Macaca fascicularis: one gene and its partners. The protein of the gene in region 1 purifies or fractionates together with the protein of each later gene. This does not show direct contact. Links are inferred from orthologs where the notes say so. Each region holds a gene or a part of one and is shown on either strand. Other genes may lie near its edges.

Evidence for each region. The genes of interacting proteins can lie anywhere in the genome.
Region 2: the proteins of ANKRD28 (region 1) and PPP6C purify together in Homo sapiens (affinity purification with mass spectrometry; 9 studies listed by BioGRID and IntAct, with this or other methods). This does not show direct contact. The link is inferred for Macaca fascicularis from reciprocal best matches to the Homo sapiens genes ANKRD28 and PPP6C.
Region 3: the proteins of ANKRD28 (region 1) and PPP6R1 purify together in Homo sapiens (co-immunoprecipitation; 4 studies listed by BioGRID and IntAct, with this or other methods). This does not show direct contact. The link is inferred for Macaca fascicularis from reciprocal best matches to the Homo sapiens genes ANKRD28 and PPP6R1.
Region 4: the proteins of ANKRD28 (region 1) and ARHGEF2 purify together in Homo sapiens (affinity purification with mass spectrometry; 3 studies listed by BioGRID and IntAct, with this or other methods). This does not show direct contact. The link is inferred for Macaca fascicularis from reciprocal best matches to the Homo sapiens genes ANKRD28 and ARHGEF2.

What each region holds. Positions count from the first base shown.
Region 1 is NC_088376.1:32,673,159-32,677,450, reverse strand, and holds part of ANKRD28 (serine/threonine-protein phosphatase 6 regulatory ankyrin repeat subunit A), read right to left. Parts: intron 3,251-4,292; coding exon 3,163-3,250; intron 3,072-3,162; coding exon 2,988-3,071; intron 2,030-2,987; coding exon 1,884-2,029; intron 1,296-1,883; exon of another isoform or gene 1,231-1,295; coding exon 1,148-1,230; intron 723-1,147; coding exon 640-722; intron 1-639. UniProt on the Homo sapiens protein: Regulatory subunit of protein phosphatase 6 (PP6) that may be involved in the recognition of phosphoprotein substrates. Involved in the PP6-mediated dephosphorylation of NFKBIE opposing its degradation in response to TNF-alpha.
Region 2 is NC_088389.1:18,865,443-18,870,247, reverse strand, and holds the start of PPP6C (serine/threonine-protein phosphatase 6 catalytic subunit), read right to left. Parts: upstream 3,316-4,805; 5' UTR 3,239-3,315; coding exon 3,164-3,238; intron 1-3,163.
Region 3 is NC_088393.1:63,193,048-63,197,900, forward strand, and holds the start of PPP6R1 (serine/threonine-protein phosphatase 6 regulatory subunit 1), read right to left. Parts: upstream 3,316-4,853; 5' UTR 2,730-3,315; intron 1-2,729. UniProt on the Homo sapiens protein: Regulatory subunit of protein phosphatase 6 (PP6). May function as a scaffolding PP6 subunit. Involved in the PP6-mediated dephosphorylation of NFKBIE opposing its degradation in response to TNF-alpha.
Region 4 is NC_088375.1:105,084,268-105,089,152, forward strand, and holds the start of ARHGEF2 (rho guanine nucleotide exchange factor 2), read left to right. Parts: upstream 1-1,570; 5' UTR 1,571-1,803; intron 1,804-4,885. UniProt on the Homo sapiens protein: Activates Rho-GTPases by promoting the exchange of GDP for GTP.

The DNA of each region.
Region 1 (4,292 bases):
TAAAGACATAGACTATATATTAAAAACTGTAAACTGCAGTAGCATAAATTCTAATAGGTTTTGAAAACAGCTTACAAGCATCATGACTAATTTTTGGACTTTCAAGGGATCTGACTAATCCCAGAATGGGCAACAATATTCTAAGATTTTTATCTTTACTAAACCTCAAAATGGAATAGTAAAGGACAATGAGAGACACTGATGTAAGATTTCTGTCAGTCAATCTGGAGGTTGGCTGCTCACATTATTAAAAAGTCTGATTCTTTCAGAAACTTTATTTGCTTACAGACACACATAAAGCTTCTTACCTCATTTATTGTTAGTTTCAAGTAACATATTATTAGTTCATTTCCATAAAATATACAAAATAGTACTACTTTCCTTCAGAAAATTAGGTAGGTGGATTAAGAACAAAATACATTATTGTCAATGTTGTAATGAAGTTTCAGTTCAAAAGCATTTTAAATAATATGCCTTTTAGTTGTGATCATTTTAGAAATGAGTTTTGACAGTTGTAAACTATTAAAATTGCTTCTATGACTAATGAAACCTATTCCAACAGTCATGTTTAAAAAAATCCATTTATCATTTTTATAATTATAGGTCACAAAGTTTATACTAGATACTGACAGTACTCACGTTTGCAAGGCTGCGTTGGTTGCATTGATGAGGTTTCTATCTGTTATCTTTTCCAGTATTAACAAGGCACTAGTTTCATGACCCTACAAAAATTGTGGCAGATAAGTTATAAAAACTTGGGTACCATTCAAGGTACATTTATATACCCAACAATCTGCAACCCTAGTTCATATAATATGTACAACACCATTCATATGCCATGAATTTTCCTGGCTAATATCTTAATATTTGCCCAAACACATCTTGGGAGTGAGGGTAGGAGAAGAGGACAAAATTAAGATTAAGGAAAGAGGATAATTATACTTAGGCTTGTGTTCCAAAACTTATTTGGCTTACTGGACACTTTGATACGCCATGGTGCCTTATAAGTCAATAATTTTGTTCAAGAAATCTAATACCAGTGATCATTAGAGAGGTTTGGTCCTGAGTTCTGTTCATTTTAGTGAAGTCAAAAAACTTTTAATGCCACTGTTAACAATGAAAACATGTTCTTAAAATGTATACATACCTTGCTACAAGCCAAATGGAGGGCAGTATTTTTACTGTTATCTTGTAAAGTCAGTTCTGCACTAGCACTGCTAACCAGCATCTCTGGGAGGAAAAAGTGCATCAATTCTTATGTTTATGAACATGTTTCTTAGATTACCAATAACTCACTGTAGAGAAACGAAGATACAAAGCAAAACAGTCCCTCTCACAAAAACTTAAGTACAAGAAAAATATTGTAATATATAACATATATACTGTATCTTCACATAATTGTATGAGACAATTATATTGTTGTATAAGTCACACACTCTAACAATGGCAATTAACATTTATTTTGTGACTGTGCACTAAATTTTAAATACTGTTTTATATGCTCTGGATTTATAGTAATTTATTTAAACCTCACAACAACCCACCAAGTAGATACTGTTATTTTTCTCATTTTGTAAATGAGAAAACTGAGGGAGGCATCAGGTCATTTAGCTGGAAGATCTAGGACTCATATTGAGGCAATCCAACTCCAGAGTCAGTGTTCTTCACCACTATGTTATAGGGCCATCGTAAAGTAGACTCCTCAATCAGTAAGTGCAAACTAAAACATTGTATCCCTAAATGAAAATGTGGATTGCAAACAGGTAAAAGGTTTTAAGTCTTAGGAGTGGTAAGATAACTAGCTGAAGTCAGAAGTCTTGGGATCTAAGTTATAAATAAGTGATACACATACTTAGGAAAATACAATTTTAAAGTTTATTTACCAACTGTATTTGTTTGTCCATTTTCTGCAGCCATCATAAGAGGTGTTTTCCCTGTAGAGTCCACAGAATTGACTTGAGCATTATGGCTCAGCAGCAGCTGTAAACACTCTACATGGTCTGTGAAGGCAGCTGCATGGAGAGGAGTTCTGTGATAAAGAAAAATGGAAACGTATGACTAAATTTGAATGTTATATATGCTGGAAAAATATTCTTTAATTTGTCACATGCAGTTTTTAAGGGTTTACATATTAGGCTATAAAAGCACTGCCTGTATACAAACAAATAGGCTCAATGGAGCTCACTAATTTCTCCCATAGAAATTTGTACTTTCAATAATATAGAAGGCCTTAATTAAACTAGAACTAGTATGAAGTAAAGATTAATTACAAAATTGCTAAAATAACATTACATCATTAAAGGAAATTTTGAAAGAAATAAATCCTGACCTGAATACCACCACTTCTTACAACTGCTGGACTTTCTTCTAGCCTTTATTCCTATTTAGAAAACTTTTAACTTTGTTAACAATTATCTTTGGGAAACAAACAACTTCTAAAGAAAGGGGAAAAATTTACATTTTAAAATAGTTTAAAGGAGGAAAATTTCCTAAAATCTATAAATAGAAAAACCGTTTATAATGTAAAAATAATTGAGATCTTATAACAATTTATACTTGCAAATAAAAAAATCAACTTTTAAATAATAATGGGTTTTCTGTAAATTCTCTCACACCAGGCCAGTAGTTAAAATTTATTTCTTATTGAAAATAAAACTTTTTTGGGGGCTAGGGCAGAGACAGGATCTCACTCTGTCATCCAGGCTGGAATGCAATAGTGCAATCACAGCTCACTGCTGCCTCAAACTCCTGGGCTCAAGTGATCCTCCTGCCTCAGCCTCCTGAATAGCTGGGATCACAGGCATGCATCATCATGTCTTTTTTTTTTTTTTTTTGGGTGGAGATGCAGGTCTTAGTATGTTGACCAGGCTGGTCTTAAACTCCTGGCTTCAAGTTATCCTCCCACCTCGGCCTCCCAGATTGTTAGGATTATAGGCATGAGCCACTGTGCCTGGCTAAAACTATTTAATACATAGTTGAATTCCTACCTTCCTTTTGAATCTGTGGCGTTCACAATGCTGGCACCTAATGTGTCAATTAACATCTCAGCAGCACCTTCGTTGTCATTTATCCTGTGTAAGGTAACATGGTGATCATTCTCACAGCAATGGTATATTTCTTAAAACACTCAAACCAAGTCTGATTCATTCTGGCTTTACTTACACAGCACAATGCAATGGACTAAAAGCATTTCCTTCCGTTTTCTGGAAAACTTCCTGTTCTAAAAGCAGTTCTACACATGTCTCGTGACCTAAATAGGTGTAAAGAACCAGATATTAAAATTCAAAGGAGATACTGGCAAAAATCAGATACACATAAATGTTTAAAGGAAAAATGTAAAAGTCTCTCCCCCATCCCATCTCCCAGTTCCCCTCTCTGGAATATAACCACTGGTAGCTGTTAAACCACCAGTAGTTCCAGAAAATTTCTAGGCATATACAACTGCATGCGCATACATACATACAGTTGGCTCTCTGTATCCATGGGTTCTGCATCCATCAATTCAACCAAACCCAAATTAAAAATACTTGGGGGGAAAAAAAAACAGAGCAGACTTTTTTTCTTGTCATATACCCTAAATATAGCATAGCAATTATTTACACACCATTTACATTACATTGGCTATTATAAGTAATCCAGAGATGACTTAAAGTATAGCAGAGAATGTGCACAGGTTATATGCAAATACTATCCCATTTTCTATAAGGGACTTGAGCACCTGTTGGTTTTGGTATTCATAAGGGGTCCTGGAAACCAATCCTCAACAGCAAATGAGAGATGACTGTGCTATTTATTTTTTTAATGGCAATGGGATGTTTAATTCCGCAACTTGCTTTTTACTTAGTATTAACTACACATATCCTTCCATAATAGCATATATAGAAGTATTATTATTATTTTAGACGGAGTCTCGCTCTTTCATCCAGTCTGGAGCGCAGGGGCGCGATCTCGGCTCACTGCAACCTCTGCCTCCCAGCTTCAAGTGATTCTCCTGTCACAGCCTCCTGAGTAGCTGGGACTACAGGCGCCCACCACCATGCCCAGCTAACGTTTTTCGTATTTTTAGTAGAGACGGGGTTTCACCATGTTGGTCAGGCTGATCTCGAACTCCTGACCTCAGGTGATCCACCCGCCTCCATCTCCCAAAGTGCCTGGATTACAGGCGTGAGCCACCGTGCCCGGCTAAAATCTTATTCTTTAGTGTTCTGAAGAGCTTCACAGTATCCAAGTGTATGATAAATTATTTAATCTAATTATGGATTTTAAAGTGATTGTTAGTTTAAAAAAATTCT
Region 2 (4,805 bases), on another chromosome or scaffold:
AAAATACAGGTAAATTTCTGTCTTCTTTTCTACCAGAACAAATCTTTTCCATCATGTTCATTAAGTGGCCTCAATAATTTCTTTTCTTAATAGCAGCTTTTATTTTGCCTTTACAGCCTCAGAAAAAGTACTCCTGGCATACTTTCTTGTCCTAATTTTAGGTTGCACTCCATGCCAAGAAACAGAAACAAAATTAAGCTTCTTTAAATACACCACAGATGAGCAACACAACAAATTAATCTGATAAAAACATTTCCAAGACAGAAAAAAAGTCTCAACTTATAAAGAAAAATTCAGAATTATTTTGTCTTGGATGCCCAAAATACGTATTTTTAAGTTTATTAAGAAACAGATACAAGCTGAGTACAGTGGCTCATGCCTGTTATCCCAGCATTTTGGGAAGCTGAGGTGGGAGAATCACTTGAGCCCAGGAGTTCAAGACTGGCCTGGGTAACATAGCAAGACCCTGTCTCTACCAAAAAAATAAATAAAAATTAGCTGGGCATGGGGACATGTGACTGTGGTCCCAGCTACTCAGGAGGCTAAGGTGGGAAGACTGCCTGAGCCCAGGAGGTCGAGGCTGCAGTAGGCCATGATTGTGCTACCACACTACAGCATGGGTGAGAGTGAGACCGTCTCCCTGCTCAAAAAAAAAAAAAGATAAAAAGATTTTTATTTTAAGAAAAAAAACAAACAAATACAAGTCAAGTACAATGCAGGAAATAAAATGGTCTAAAAACTATACTTCCTTAAGAAGGAAATCTAATGTTTATCAAACTAAGAGGTACAAAGAAGTCCAACAGATTACCTTTTTTTTGACACAGAGTCTCCCTCTGACACCCAGGCTGGAGTGCAGTGGCGCAATCTTGGCTCACTGCAACCTCCGCCTCCCTGGTTCAAGCAATTCTCCTGCCTCCGCTCCCAAGTAGCTGGGATTACAGGCACCTGCCACCACCCCCAGCTTATTTTTGTGTTTTTAGTAGAGACGGGGTTTCACCATGTTGGCCAGGTTGGTCTCGAGCTCCTGACCTCAAGTGATCCACCTGCCTCAGCCTCCCAAAGTGCTGGGATTACGCCACCGCGCCCTAGACACATTTTCATAGAAAGCAACATTTTATTCATCATAAACACAAAGTTCAAAAAAGTTTTACGCATGATAAATAAAAAGAAAAAATTCCATGTCAATTCACTGACATGCAATAGTCAACCTCACCTACGGGATTAATAATGCTACTAAGAGGTCTGGTTAGTTTTCCATGAATTGGATCCCAGTGCTAGTTGTATTCTTATTTCCTTAAAAAAAAAAACACATAGCAGAAAGAAGTCACGAAAGGAGTGTCTGAAGGACTCAGATGAGCACGAATGCTACATTACTACTAAGGAAGGCTGTCCTTATTTTAAATTATTCTATTAAAAATGGGAGAATGCAGAGGAATGACTCCCCTGTCATATGCCACACAAAATTAACAGGTAAGTACAATTCAGGCACATTCATAACACCATGTGTGGCCTCAAATATTATGCATACTTGTTGACTGATGTTAAGTATCAACTTACTGTACAAAGAAGAAATAAAACAAAACCCACAGTAATATATTTCTTTAAGAATACACTGAGCCGGTGTCGGGCGCGGTGGCTCAGGCCTGTAATCCCAGCACTGTGGAAGGCCGAGGTGGGCGGATCACGAGGTCAGGAGATCGAGACCATCTTGGCTAACACGGTGAAACCCCGTCTCTACTAACAATACAAAAAAATTAGCCAGGCGTGATGGCGGGCGCCCGTAGTCCCAGAGACTCGGGAGACTGAGGCAGGAGAATGGCATGAACCCAGGAGGAGGAGCTTGCAGTGAGCGGAGATCGCGCCACCGCACTCCAGCCTGGACGACAGAGGGAGACTCTGTCTCCAAAAAAAGAATACACTGAGTCGGATAAATACTAGCACGAGCTGATAAGCACTGCTAGAAACCTAAGTTCTGATTTCAGCAAATGCATAGAAACACTTTTCAAAAAAGCAGTATACCCTAGGCGGGGCGCGGTGGCTCAGGCCTGTAATACAAGCACTTTGGGAGGCCGAGGCGGGCAGATCACTTGAGGTCAGGAGTTCAAGACCAGCCTGGCCAACATGGCGAAACCCTGTCTCTACTAAAAATACAAAACAGCGGGAAGTCGTGGTGGGCGCCTGTAATCCCACCTAGTCGGGAGGCTGAGGCAGGACAATCGCCTGAACCCGGGAGGCAGAGGTTGCAGTGAGCAAGATCGCACCACTGCACTCGAGTTTGGGGGACAGAGTGAGACTCTATCTCAATTAAAAAAATAATAATAATTAAAAAGTTTTTAAAAAAGAAAAGCAGTATACCAAAGCCATTCCTTACCCATACATACATTTACTCTTACTTGGACTCAGGAGTAACAAAGAATTCACCTCCTTTAGAAAATCAAGAAAATGAAATGTTGAGTTCAGAAGCGGTTAAGGAAAAAGTATTTGTATTTATTGAGAACCAACTACTTTATCCACTTCAGTAACCTCAACAACATACTCAAAAACGGGATTCACCTCTGAATTAGCAAAAGAAAACCGACGATCCTAAAAAGCAATTTGGAGGAGTGGCAAAGAAAGAGCTGACGTTCGTTCCCGTCAGTACCAAACCACTCGGGCCCACCGCCTGCCCCTTCCTCAGAGACCTAAACACATTGGAGCCGCATTCCGGGAGCCGGTGGCATCTCCTGTCAGACGCCGGCCACTCCGCGCTCCTGTCACTTCCAGTGGTGGCGACCCCATCCCGAGGGCACTGCCGCGGGGGCTCGGCTCCGACTGCGGGAGACCCGGGGATGGGGTGGTGAGCCGAGTCTTCTAAGCAAAGCTGTTACAGCTGCGGGTCCTGGGGCAGCCCGAAGGCCAGAAGGGGCGACCCTGGGGCAGAGGCCGCGACATCCCTCGGGATCTCCACTGAGGCAACTGGGACAGCATTCGGGGGACTCGGCTCCCCCGACCCTCGGCGTGACGCCGGGTCGGACCGGGTCGCTTGGCACTGGGGCAGGCCCTCCACCGCGACGGGACGGGATACCCAGCGGGGGTCCCGGAGAAAGGAAGGGCGGGCCGCCGGGCGCCCCACAGCCGGAAGGGGCGAGCCCGCAAACAGGGCTCCCGCCCCGGCAGGGCTCACCTTCAGGTCGTTCTCTGGCAGGTACTTGCACAGCCGCGCTATCTCCACATACTTGTCCAGGTCTAGCGGCGCCATTTTAGGAATAACAAGCCGCGGCAACAGCAGCGGCGGCGGCTGTAGTAGCGGCGGCGGCAGCGGCGGAGGCCGAAGCCGGAACTTTCCCTGCGTCACGTCCGGCCCGTGAGTGGCGTCTGCGCAGCGCCGTTAAAGCTCGACCCGCTTCTCCCCGCTACCTCCGTACGCCCGGCGCCCCCTCTGGCAGAACCCCGGCTACAGGGCCCAAGAGACCCCTCTTCGATCCACCCCGCGAACCTGCTGGGACCCGTAGTCGTCTGCCGCGGGGCGTGCTGGGATGTGTAGTTTTCAGTTGTGGACAGCCACCTCCCCTCTTTTCCTCCCATTTCTCCAGACTTCCACCTGCCGGCAGCCGGCCAGGCTTTTCCGAGGCAAAACGGCGGAGTAGGTGGTCCTAGCCACTCACTGGTTTCTTTTTCCAACTCTTTTAAGCACTCTTTCACCAGAATATCTTAACAGTTGGGTAAGCCTGGCCGTTTGCACCTTTCCAAGTCCCTGTGAAAACCTCGCCTAAGCCTGTGGCAGAGATGTCAGGCTCCAGTCTTCCAATCTGAAAGGAAGGAAAACAAATATTAAAGGTTTTCTTATGCTAAATGCGATACAAATGCTGTTTTTCCATTTACTCTTCGTAACGATTGATAGGAAAGTGAGGCTTGGAGGCTTTAAGTAGTTTACCCCAAATCTCACAGGGAACAAAATGGCGGGACCAAGATTGGAAAAATGGCTTAAGCTTAAGCGTACTTCCAATGAGAATCCCACAAGGACATGGAGTTTTTTGCTGTAACTCCAGCACTGAGAACAGTACCTGGTACTAGCGTACCTTCAGCATTCGTTTATTCAAGCACTCTTTATTGAGCAACAAAGATGTGCCAGGTACAGCTGCAGGAGCTTGCAACACTTCATGAACAAAATAGACAAAGATCTCTATCCTATCCGTAGCTACAAAAAATACCAAAATTAGCCGGGTGCGGTAGTGCGTGCTTGTGGTCCCAGCTACTCTGGAGGCTGAGGAAGGAGAATCGCTTGAGCCGGGAGGCGGAGGTTGCAGTGAACCGAGATCGCGGCACTGCACTCCAGCTTGGGCGACAGAGCGAGATCCTCCTCAAAAATAAATTAGTAAAAGGTGGCCGGGCCCTGTGGCTCACGCCTGTAATCTCAGCACTTTGGGAGGCCGAGGCGTGCAGATCCCGAGGTCAGGAGATCGAGACCATCCTAGCTAACAAGGTGAAACCCCGTCTCTACTAAAAATACAAAAAGAAATAAGCGGGGCGTGGTGGCGGGCGCCTGTAGTCCCAGATATTCGGGAGGCTGAGGCAGGAGAATGGTGTGAACCCGGAGGCGGAGCTTGCAGGGAGCTGAGATCCCGCCACTGCACTCCAGCCTGGGCGACAGAGCGAGACTCTGTCCCAATAAATAAATAAATAATAAATAAATAAATAAATCAGTAAAAGGAAGCTGCTGTATGGGACTAGGGGTGGGGGTACAATGGCTGTAGCTAAGAGACCAGTTAGGAGACTGTTATGTAATCCAATAGTAGCAGGCGCTCAATAAATATTTGTTGCTCAAG
Region 3 (4,853 bases), on another chromosome or scaffold:
CTAGCTCCTCCTGGGTCCTTCAGGCCCCCACACAGACACCACTTCCTCCAGGGAGCCTCCCCACTGCATCTGTGTCAGGGGCCTGCTCCACACGGCTTCCACGGCATCCCACAGTCACCCGAGGACAGCACGTGAGCCTCGGCTCTGTGACAGGATGTACCTGTTCAGTCATCTGCCTCCCCTGAAACACGCTGACTTCCCAGGATCTAGCGTCAGGCCAGGCCCAACTAAAGCTACTTGTGAATTAATGAAAACTGAAGCCAGAGAAAGGTGTTCTGTTAAGATCACTGGGCCACACATCCCAGAAAAAAAAATGGGGAGGGTACCAGACAAGCAGGTTCTCCTCGAATGGAAAGAAACAGTAGATTAACCAACAAAAGCTAACGGCCACAAAGATGGTGGCAACTCGCAATACACAACTCACCAACACACAGCTCAGGAGTCACAACAGAGTAAATGAGCCACAACGACACACAGCACCCCGGCAGTGGAGCAAAGCTCTCCTCCTCTGCGCTGCCCACATTTGGGCTGGACAGTTCTTTTTGGTGCTGGGACTGCCCGTGCATTGGAGGACACTTAGCAACATCCCTGGCCTCCACCTCCACTCACCAGATACTGGCAGCACTCCCCCCAGTTGGAACAACCAAAAACATCTCCAGATATCACCAACTGTCCCCAGCTGAGAACCACTGCAACAGACACTCCCAAATCAAATAACAATCGAAAGAACGGCCAGATATGGTGTCCCACACCTATAATCCCAGCTCTCTGGGAGGCTAGGCAGGAGGACTGCTTGAGCTCACGAGTTTGAAATCAGCCTGGGCACCATGGCAGGGCACCATAGCAAGACCCAGTCTTTACAAAAAATACAAACATTAGCTGGGCGTGTACAAAAAAATACAAAAATTGAGCAAGCATTGCAGCACGTGCCTGTAGTCGCAGCTACTCAGGAGGCTGAGGTGGGAAGATCACTTGAGTCCAGCAGTTCAAGGCTGCAGTGAGCAATGATTAGACCACTGCACTCCAGGTTGGGCAAAGGAGCAAAACTCAGTCTCAAAATCATCACCATCATCCAAAGAGCTACTGATTGCAGAGCACAATGTACCTTGCATTCTGACCCAGGCTTCTACAAACCTTGCACTTAATCCCTAGAACTACCCTCTGAGGAGAGCAGTCTGCTATCCCCACTTACAGATGAAGAACAACTTGTCCAAGATCTCACCACTTGGAAAAGCAGAAGCCAGACTCGGCCTAGGTCTGTCTGACAAAAGGTCCTCTAACAATTAGCTGGACTGCCTTCTCATGATCCCAATCCCAGAACTAGAGTTAGGTGGTCTCATGTAACTTATGCAAAATGATACATGTTGGGCAAAAGTTAAAAAAAAAAAAAAAAAAAAAAAAAGCGTAACATTTTAAACAGCACAAGCAGCTCCAACAGCCGTTCCACCACTAGTAAGCACACGTGGCCGGGTGCCGTGAGCATTTCCACGTGTGTTGTGCATGGATGTAAACCAAGTCCTCATCACGGGTTACTCAGGCAATCTCCAGTCCTTGCTGCATTTGCAGGGCACGGTGATGGTTAGATCCTCGCCCTTGGGCTGGATGAAATCCCACTGCAGTTTCTCTACAACTGTGAACCCAGTACCGCGCCTGACAGTCTACGCAGCTGCCTTTACTGAAACATCTTGCTTTTCAGGCGGATGTTTATGGTCATGTCTGTGTGTACAAAGAGCGAGCAAGAAAGACCCCAACCAGAGGTCCCATTCAAGGCCTGGACAAGCACCCCGGGCCGAGCTACTCTGCCCCTCACCCTCCCAACACATCTTCACTCAGGACTCCGACCTTCCTTCCTTGACATATCTGCACGTGCTGCTCCTTCCCCCCCCCCCCGGAAGGCCCTTCTTCCCACTCTCCATCTGTCACCTCCTACTCATCCTTCCTAGACAGAAAAAGCCATCCATCCAGCCAGTCTCACCAGTGCCTTGCGCTCTGTGGCCCCCTGCAGCTCCCTAAGTTACCTCCATCACAACACACAGGAATTGTGACTGTCCGGTTCTGCCTTTGTCCCCCCTCCCTCCAGGGACCGGCCCCACCTCCAGGGCAGGGCCTAGGACTGATGACCCCTCCTCGGAGCCCAGCGCCAGGCGCCCTGCCTGCCCTCAGCAGGCTTCATCTCACTGAAGCAGGCCGGAGTGGTGGCTGCTCCAGAGAAGCCCCGCTCCCAGGTCCCTCGCACAAGAAACCGGAGGCGGGAGAGGGTCGGTCAAGGTGAAGACAAGCCCCGCTCCCCCAGTCCTGAGCTCCGGGGTGACAGGCAACGGATCTAAGGAGGCTGCGCCGCGGAAGAGGCGGCGGGGCAGAGATTGGGGCGAGAGAGATGGGTGTGAGCGGGCAAAGTCCAGGGTAACCAGGAGGAAAGACTCCTGGGGAGCCGGGGGACCGGCCAGAGAGGCAAGAGAGCGGAGCTGAGGCTCAGGGACTGGGGAGCGCAGCTGCAAAGAGAGCGGGTGGGAAAAGCCCGAGGGCAAGAAACTGAGAGGTGGGTGGCGGGGGAGCTGAGGAGAGATTAAGAGACTGGAGAGGGTCGAGGGGGAAGAAACGGGGGCCCGTGGAGAGGGAACCCGAAGGAAGGAGGATCCCAAGCAGAAAAGACCGGCGGGGGTCCGGAGAGGGGAAGACGTGGGGGCCTGGTCCTGGAGAGGCAGGGTCGGGCGACACGGGCCGCTCACCTGCGAGGGGGGGCGGCGGCTCCTCGCACTCGGGGCTCATCGGGGCGCCCCCCCCGCCCCGCCGCCGGCGGCTCCGGCCCCTGCTGCGGGGCCCGGTAAGTAGGGGCGGGGGCGGCGTCGGGGACTTGCGCAGGCGCCGGGGCTCGCGGGGTCCGCGCAGGCGCCCGCGGGTCGTGGGGTCCTCGCGCGCCGGGTCCTGCAGAGTTGAGGGGGTCAGAGCCGGGTGGGGTTGCCGGCGGGCTGGGGGTGTCACGAGTCCGCGTAGGCGCCTCCGGGGTCCGCAGGCGAGGTGGGCGCGCCGACCAAGGCGGGTTGCGGGCGAGTCCGGTCGCGAGGCCCGCGCAGGCGCCTCAGCCGGGAAGACGGGGGAAGTTGCCTCGGTTTCCACACTCCAACCCAGCGCCCCGCGGGAGGGGAAGACGTCCTCCTCCGCGGTCCAAACGGGCCGCAGAGCCGAGCAGCGACCGACGGACGCCGAGGCCTACTTCCTTAACCGCCCCTTCCCCAAAGCCGCTCAGTCTCCGGGCTCTGCGGCCCGCCTCAGGGCCTCCGACGCCCGGCTCCCTCCGCCACTATCCCACAATCCCCCTAGCGCAGGACGACGCAGGAGGCCCCGCCCTCCCGCGGCGGTCTCGGTGCGCAGGTGCGGGAGGGGCCGCACGCCTGGGTGGTGCAGTGCGCGTGCGCCCGCGTGCTTCCGACCCCGCCCACTCCTGAACCCCGCCGCCGTAGACGCGCTTGCGCCCGTTGGTGCCAACGGTCTGGCCCGGAATAAACCCAGACAGCGCAATGAGCCGGAGCTGCGCACCGGCTCCGTTCCAAGTCCCCGTGAATATTCCGCCCCAGGATTTCCCTTCCCACTCGCTCCGTTTGGGAATCCGTTCGCTCTTCTGTCTCCTCTAATCATAGTCCGGCTTTGGCTCCAGGGTCGGGCTCTTGTGAAATCCAGACCTGGTTTTCACTCCAGCCAAGGCCAGGCGCCTTAGTCCCGCCCGGCTCTCGAGATAAGCGGCCTGCGAGCCTCAGGAACCCTCAGTCCTTTCCATTTGCTGGCGATAGTCCCGGCCGGGTCGCTAGTGTTGCCAGTTCCGCCCAAAGCCGCCTCTAATAGCATCAACTGGAAGAGACCTCCTAGACCTTGTGTCTAGATTGATGAAGGCCCCATCTGGCTTTGAGCCTCAGTTTCCCCAACTTTAATAGCCCCCCCTCCCTGCCCATGTTAGAGGCCCACTGTAAAAATCGTGTGGGCGCGAGGAACTTTTTTTTTTTTTTTTAAAGACTGCAAATTGGCCAGGCGCGGTGGCTCACGCCTGTAATCACAACACTTTGGAAGGCCCAAGGCAGAAGGATGGCATGAGCCCAGGAATTCGAGACCACCCTGGGCAGCCTAGGGAGACCCCCGTCTCTACAAAAGAAAATTTACAAAATTAGTTGGGCATGGTGGCCCGCGCCTGTAGCCTCAGCTATTCGGGAGGCTAAGGCAGGGGAATCGCTTGAGCCCAGGCTGCAGTGAGCCGGATTGCACTAGTGCACTCCGGCCTAGGAGACAGCGAGAACCTGTCTCAAAAACAAACAAAGGGTCTGGCGCGGTGGCTCAGGCGTGTACCTGAGCTCAGGAGTTCCAGACTCCACACCTGTAATCCCAGCACTTTGGGAGGCCGAGGAGGGCGAATTGCGTGAGCTCAGGAGTTCGAGACCAGCCTGGGCAACACGGTGAAACCCCGTTTCTACTAAAATACACAAAAAAGGCCGGATGTGGCGGTGTGCGCCTGTAATCCCAGCTACTCGGGAGGCTGAGGCAGGAGAATTGCTTGAATCCGGGAGGCAGATGTTGCAGTAAAAAAAAAAGGCCGGGCGCGGTGGCTCACGCCTGTAATCTCAGCACTTTGGGAGGCCGAGGCAGGCAGATCACAAGGTCAGGAGATGGAGACCATCCTAGCTAACACAGTGAAACCCCGTCTCCACTAAAAAATACAAGACAATTAGCCGGGCGTGGTGGCAGGCGCCTGTAGTCCCCGCTACTCGGGAGGCTGAGGCAGGAGAATGGTGTGAACCTGGCAGGAGAATGGCGTGAACCTGGGAGGCAGAGCTTGCAGTGAGCCGAGATCGCGCCGTCACGCCACA
Region 4 (4,885 bases), on another chromosome or scaffold:
CCTGTTTCCTCGTCTGCACAATCATGAAATTGTTTAGAGGATTTTTGAGGACCCCTCACCGGTATGATAGGGCAGGTATTACCCCTTTGTTCTTATGCAGTGAGGAACATGAGGAACAACCACTGTCACTTTCTCATCGTGTGGGTGAGATCCAGCCAGGTGGGGAAGGGCACACACAGTTCTACATCCGGCAGCAGCTGCTCTCTTCCACTCACCGACAGAGAGAATTTTTGAGTAAGGATAAACCATAGATTACCTAATTTGATGCTCTCATTTAATAGATCAGGAAAGACACAGGGTGAAGCGGCTTGTCCAAGGTTGCCCACCAGTGGCAGCTAGCATATTTATTTATTACGGACCCAGCATGTATGTTCCACTGTTCTCACATGTCTCATTTAACATCTGCATTCTACAGATAAGGGGATGAGGCTAAATAGGTGACACAAGGTCCTGTAACTAGTGACTTGGCAGAGGCAGCCAAGATCTTCCAGCTCTAACATGCCCTTTCTACTAGCCCACAGGAGGCAAAGAGGGCTCTCCGTTACCTCAGGAAGTCCGACGTCAGCCCCAGCTGTCCTCTGCCCCAGGGAAAGCAGTGAAGGTGAGTCAGCCACTGCCCCGCCCCAGAAGCTGTTATCTGGGAAGAGAGTGGGGGAGCTGGTCAAATATACTGCCGCCTGGTATCCACAACAAGCCATGAGCCCCGGATATGCTGAGTTCCTTGGTCACCCTTGTTCCTGGTGCTGACACTAGGGCCCTTCTCAGTGCAGCTGCCCTTGTAACCGCTCCACCCTGTACTTTCATCACAAAAAAATACAATCTTTCCTCCTCCATTGCTGTAACCTGCCTCTTAAAGGGACAAACAATCAGGTTTTTTTTATTGTTGTTTGTTTGTTTGTTTTGAGATGGAATCTTGCTCTGTTGCCCAGGCTGGATTACAGTGGCGTGATTTCGGCTGGCTGTAACCTCTGCATCCCGGGTTCAAGCGATTTTCCTGCCTCAGCCTCCCCAGTAGCTAGGATTACAGGTGCACACCACCACCCCCGGCTAATTTTTATATTTTTAGTAGAAACGGGGTTTCTCCATGTTGGCCAAGCTGGTCTCTAACTCCCGACCTCAAGTGATCAGCCCGCCTCGGCCTCCCAAAGTGCTGGGATTATAGGCATGACCCACCATGCCCGGCCAACAATCAGTTGTGAAGCCTAATTTGAGAGGGCAAAGGACGCCACTGACCCCGCTGAGGACCCTGCTGTGAAGTGGGTTTCCAGCTGCAGCTGTTTCTTTCCTGGAGATGTCCGCTTTCTCCCCTCCCCAGTTTCTCCCTGACCCTGTTGGAGGAAGGATGAACCTTCCCTGGACTGTCAGGTTCCCGTATAGTCTCTCCTCAGGGTGACCCCAGCATGGCTTCTTGTACCTGTTTCCACACAAGTCTGAATTCTGTAGCCGCCCTGTGTTCAGGGAATGCTGAAGACAGAGGGACCCAGGAGTCCCTGGGATCAGTAGTGGCACTGAAAGAGTTAAGGGCCTGGGCACAGCACTGTTTAGGGTGTTTGAAGTAGGGCGGGGAAGGGAAGGGCTGCAGTGGATGAAGAGGCAGCTGGTCTGTACTGGAATGAGTTCCCCCTTATGCAAACTTCTGGACCATGAGCAGCTCCCTTAAAAGGACCAAGAGAGAGGGGACCCCCACCAAGGTGCTGGACTGGTTCTTAAAGGGGCCACCTGAAGCAGGACTTTTTCCCACACTGAAGTCACCAACTGAGGGCAGAAACAGGTCTCCCATCTTTGGGATATCTCCCAGGTCTGGTGAGTTTCCCTCTCTCCTTTCCTGGGTCCTTGCCCTCAGACCCTCTCTTGCCCCACCTGTCTGGCATGGCACCCAGAACACATGCCAGGAAACTGGCAGGAGGTAGAAGAGGACTGGTTGGTCTTGACCCTTTTCTTCTCTATCCCCCACAAATAAAGGGTTAGTCTGGGTCCCAAGCCCCTGGTAGAATAAGCATACAGCTACAGGTCCAGCAGAACGGAAGAGGGCAGGGTCCCTAAGTTCAGTTTACTAACCAATTAAAAAAAAAAAAAAAAAGGCGGTCACACTTGGAAGCCCAGAGCAGCAAAATTCCTGACTGACTTATGAACCTAGTACATCAAGGACATGGGGATGATTTAGGGAGAGTGTCTGAGATGCCTGTGGCTGACTTAGTAGAGGGGTGTGTAGTTAGATTAGGGGGCTGGGGACGCCTTGAAATTCCAGAACTAAGTACAGATGATAATGCCTCTCAGGAGACAACCCGGAAGCTGATACGACAGATGGCTTTTGCCCATACTGGCCTCTGCCCCACTAAGGGATGGTAGCCAGGGCCCACCATTGTATTTGTGCATAGACTCTTCTGGGTCCTCTTCTCTGTGCCTGACACTTAAAAGGTGCTAAAATAATCTTTGCTGAATGAATGGATCCTCTATATCTTTTACTTTGCTTTCATTTTTGGAATTGTGGCACTACTCTCTGACAGTGGACAGGAAAGTCAGAGAAGGAGAATGAGTTCCAGGACACCAGCGTTCAGCCAAGTCAGGCAGATGGGTGAAGCAGGAAGGTATCAGAGACTTGGGTGCTCCTGTCTTGGAATGGGGTGTCTAGGGAGCACATGGGAAGGAATTGTAGCTCCTGGAGCCTTCTTTATCTGAGGCGAAGAGAAGCTCTGCTTTAGCCTTCTTTGCAGGGCACTGTTGGATTAATGGTTTACTTTCTACAGGAGAAGAAATGTTAGGTTAAATTTTGAACCATCAAAGAGTTTTTGTGACCCTGTGTCCCACCCCCAGGGCCAGGAGATTTGGAGGAGAGCCAGTACAACATGTCATTTGGCCTCTCCTTTCCTCCTCAGCCTTTATTATCCGATTCTCTTGGGTCTTCTCCAATATTGGCCACCTCGCTAGATTTAGGATCCCAGAGCCAGACTCAAAGCTTCTCAGACTGCGAAAGGGCCAGCCAGCATTGCCTCCAAGCAACAGCACCTGGCTGTTTGGTTGCTGTCAGCAGTTCCTCCCCCATGTTCGGTGTTCGCTGGCAGCAAACATAACCAGAGACCTGCCTGTGCCCCATCACCTCATTCAGGGGTCTAAGCTAACACAGGGAGCAGAAAGGATACACTGAACTTCTTTGGGACCCCTATCTCATTTCTTTTGGAAGCTGCTTCGTTTCTTTGGCTGGGGTCAGGGAGGTAGGAATGAGGTGGGTAAAAATAATGTTGCCAGATTTCTTTCAAAGCTAGCCACTTGGCCTGGTGTGGTGACTCATGCCTGTAATCCCAGCACTTTGGGAGGCTGAAGTGGGTAGATCACCTGAAGTAAGGAGTTCAAGACCAGCCTGGGCAATATTGTGAAACCCCCATCTCTACAAAAATACAAAAATTAGCCAGGCACAATGGCGGGTGCCTGTAATGTCAGCTACTTGGGAAGCTGAGGTGGGAGAATTGCTTGAACCTAGGAGGCGGAGGTTGCAGTGAGCCGAGATCGCGCCATTGCACTCCAGCCTGCCTGGTGACAGAGCAAGACTATCTCAAAAAAAAAAAAAAAAAAAAAAAAGGAAAAAAAAAGCTAGCCACTTGATAGGCTGGGCACAGTGGCTCAGGTCTATAATTTCATCTCAGCACTTTGGGAGGCCAAGATGGGTGGATCACTTGAGGTCAGGAGTTCAAGACCAGCCTGGTCAACATGGTGAAACACTGTCTCTACTAAAATTACAAAAATTAGCCAGGCGTGGTGGTGCACGCCTGTAATCCCAGCTACTCAGGAGGCTGAGGCAGGAGAATCACTTGAACCTGGGAGGCAGAGGTTGCAGTGAGCCGAGATCGTGCCACTACACTCTAGCCTGGGCAACAGAGCGAGGCCGTGTCTCAGAAAAAAAAAAAAAGCTAGCCACTTGCTTTCTTTGAGAGCTTGTTTTCTGGTTTCAGAAAAGAATTCAGGCTCCATAATGTGATGGATCAGCTTTGAAAACTCATCTCCGCCTCCTATCAGCTCTGTGACCCCCAGCCAGTTACTTAAGCTCTCTATGCAGCCTGTTTCTTCATATGTAAAATAGGGATAATAATGTCTGTTTCAAGAAATATTTGTGAGGATGGCACAAAATGGATGTTGGCACTCATTATCTCTCTCTATATAGGCCTCAGATGACATTTAGGAAGTAGGTATGTTGGCTGGGTGCAGTGGCTCACACCTGTAATCCCAGCACTTTGGGAGGCCAAGGTGGGAGGGTCACCTGAAGTTAGGAGTTTGAGACCAGCCTGACCAACACAGTGAAACTCCCTCTCTACTAAAAATGCAAAACTTAGCTGGGTGTGGTGGTGGGTGCCTGTAATCCCACCTACTTGGGAGGCTGAGGCAGGAGAATCGCTTGAACCCAGGAGGCGGAGGTTGCAGTGAGCCGAGATCGCACCATTGCACTCCAGCCTGGGAGACAGAGCAAGACTCCGTCTCAAAAAAAAAAAGGAAGTAGTTATATTGAGGTCTCAATGTCTCAATATCCCTTCTTCCCCAAAGCTTGTAGCCGAATGCCTGGTGTGCAGTGATCCTTTCATGTCCCTCTTTTATCTCTTTTCTCCTTTCTCCTCCTTCCTGAGATTTTGAGACCCGGTTGCTCTAGATTAGGAGTTGGCAAAGTTTTTCTGTAAAGATCCAGTTAACAAATATTTTAGGCCAGGCGTGGTAGCACATGACTGTAATCCCAGCACTTTGGGAGGCCAAGGTGGGCATATCGCTTGAGCTCAAGAGTTCAAGACCAGCCTGGGCAACATAGCGAGACCTTGTTTCTACAAAAATTACAAATATTATCCCGGTGTGGTGTGGTGTGCCTGTAGTCCTAGCTCGCTTGGGAGTCTGAGGTGGGAGGATT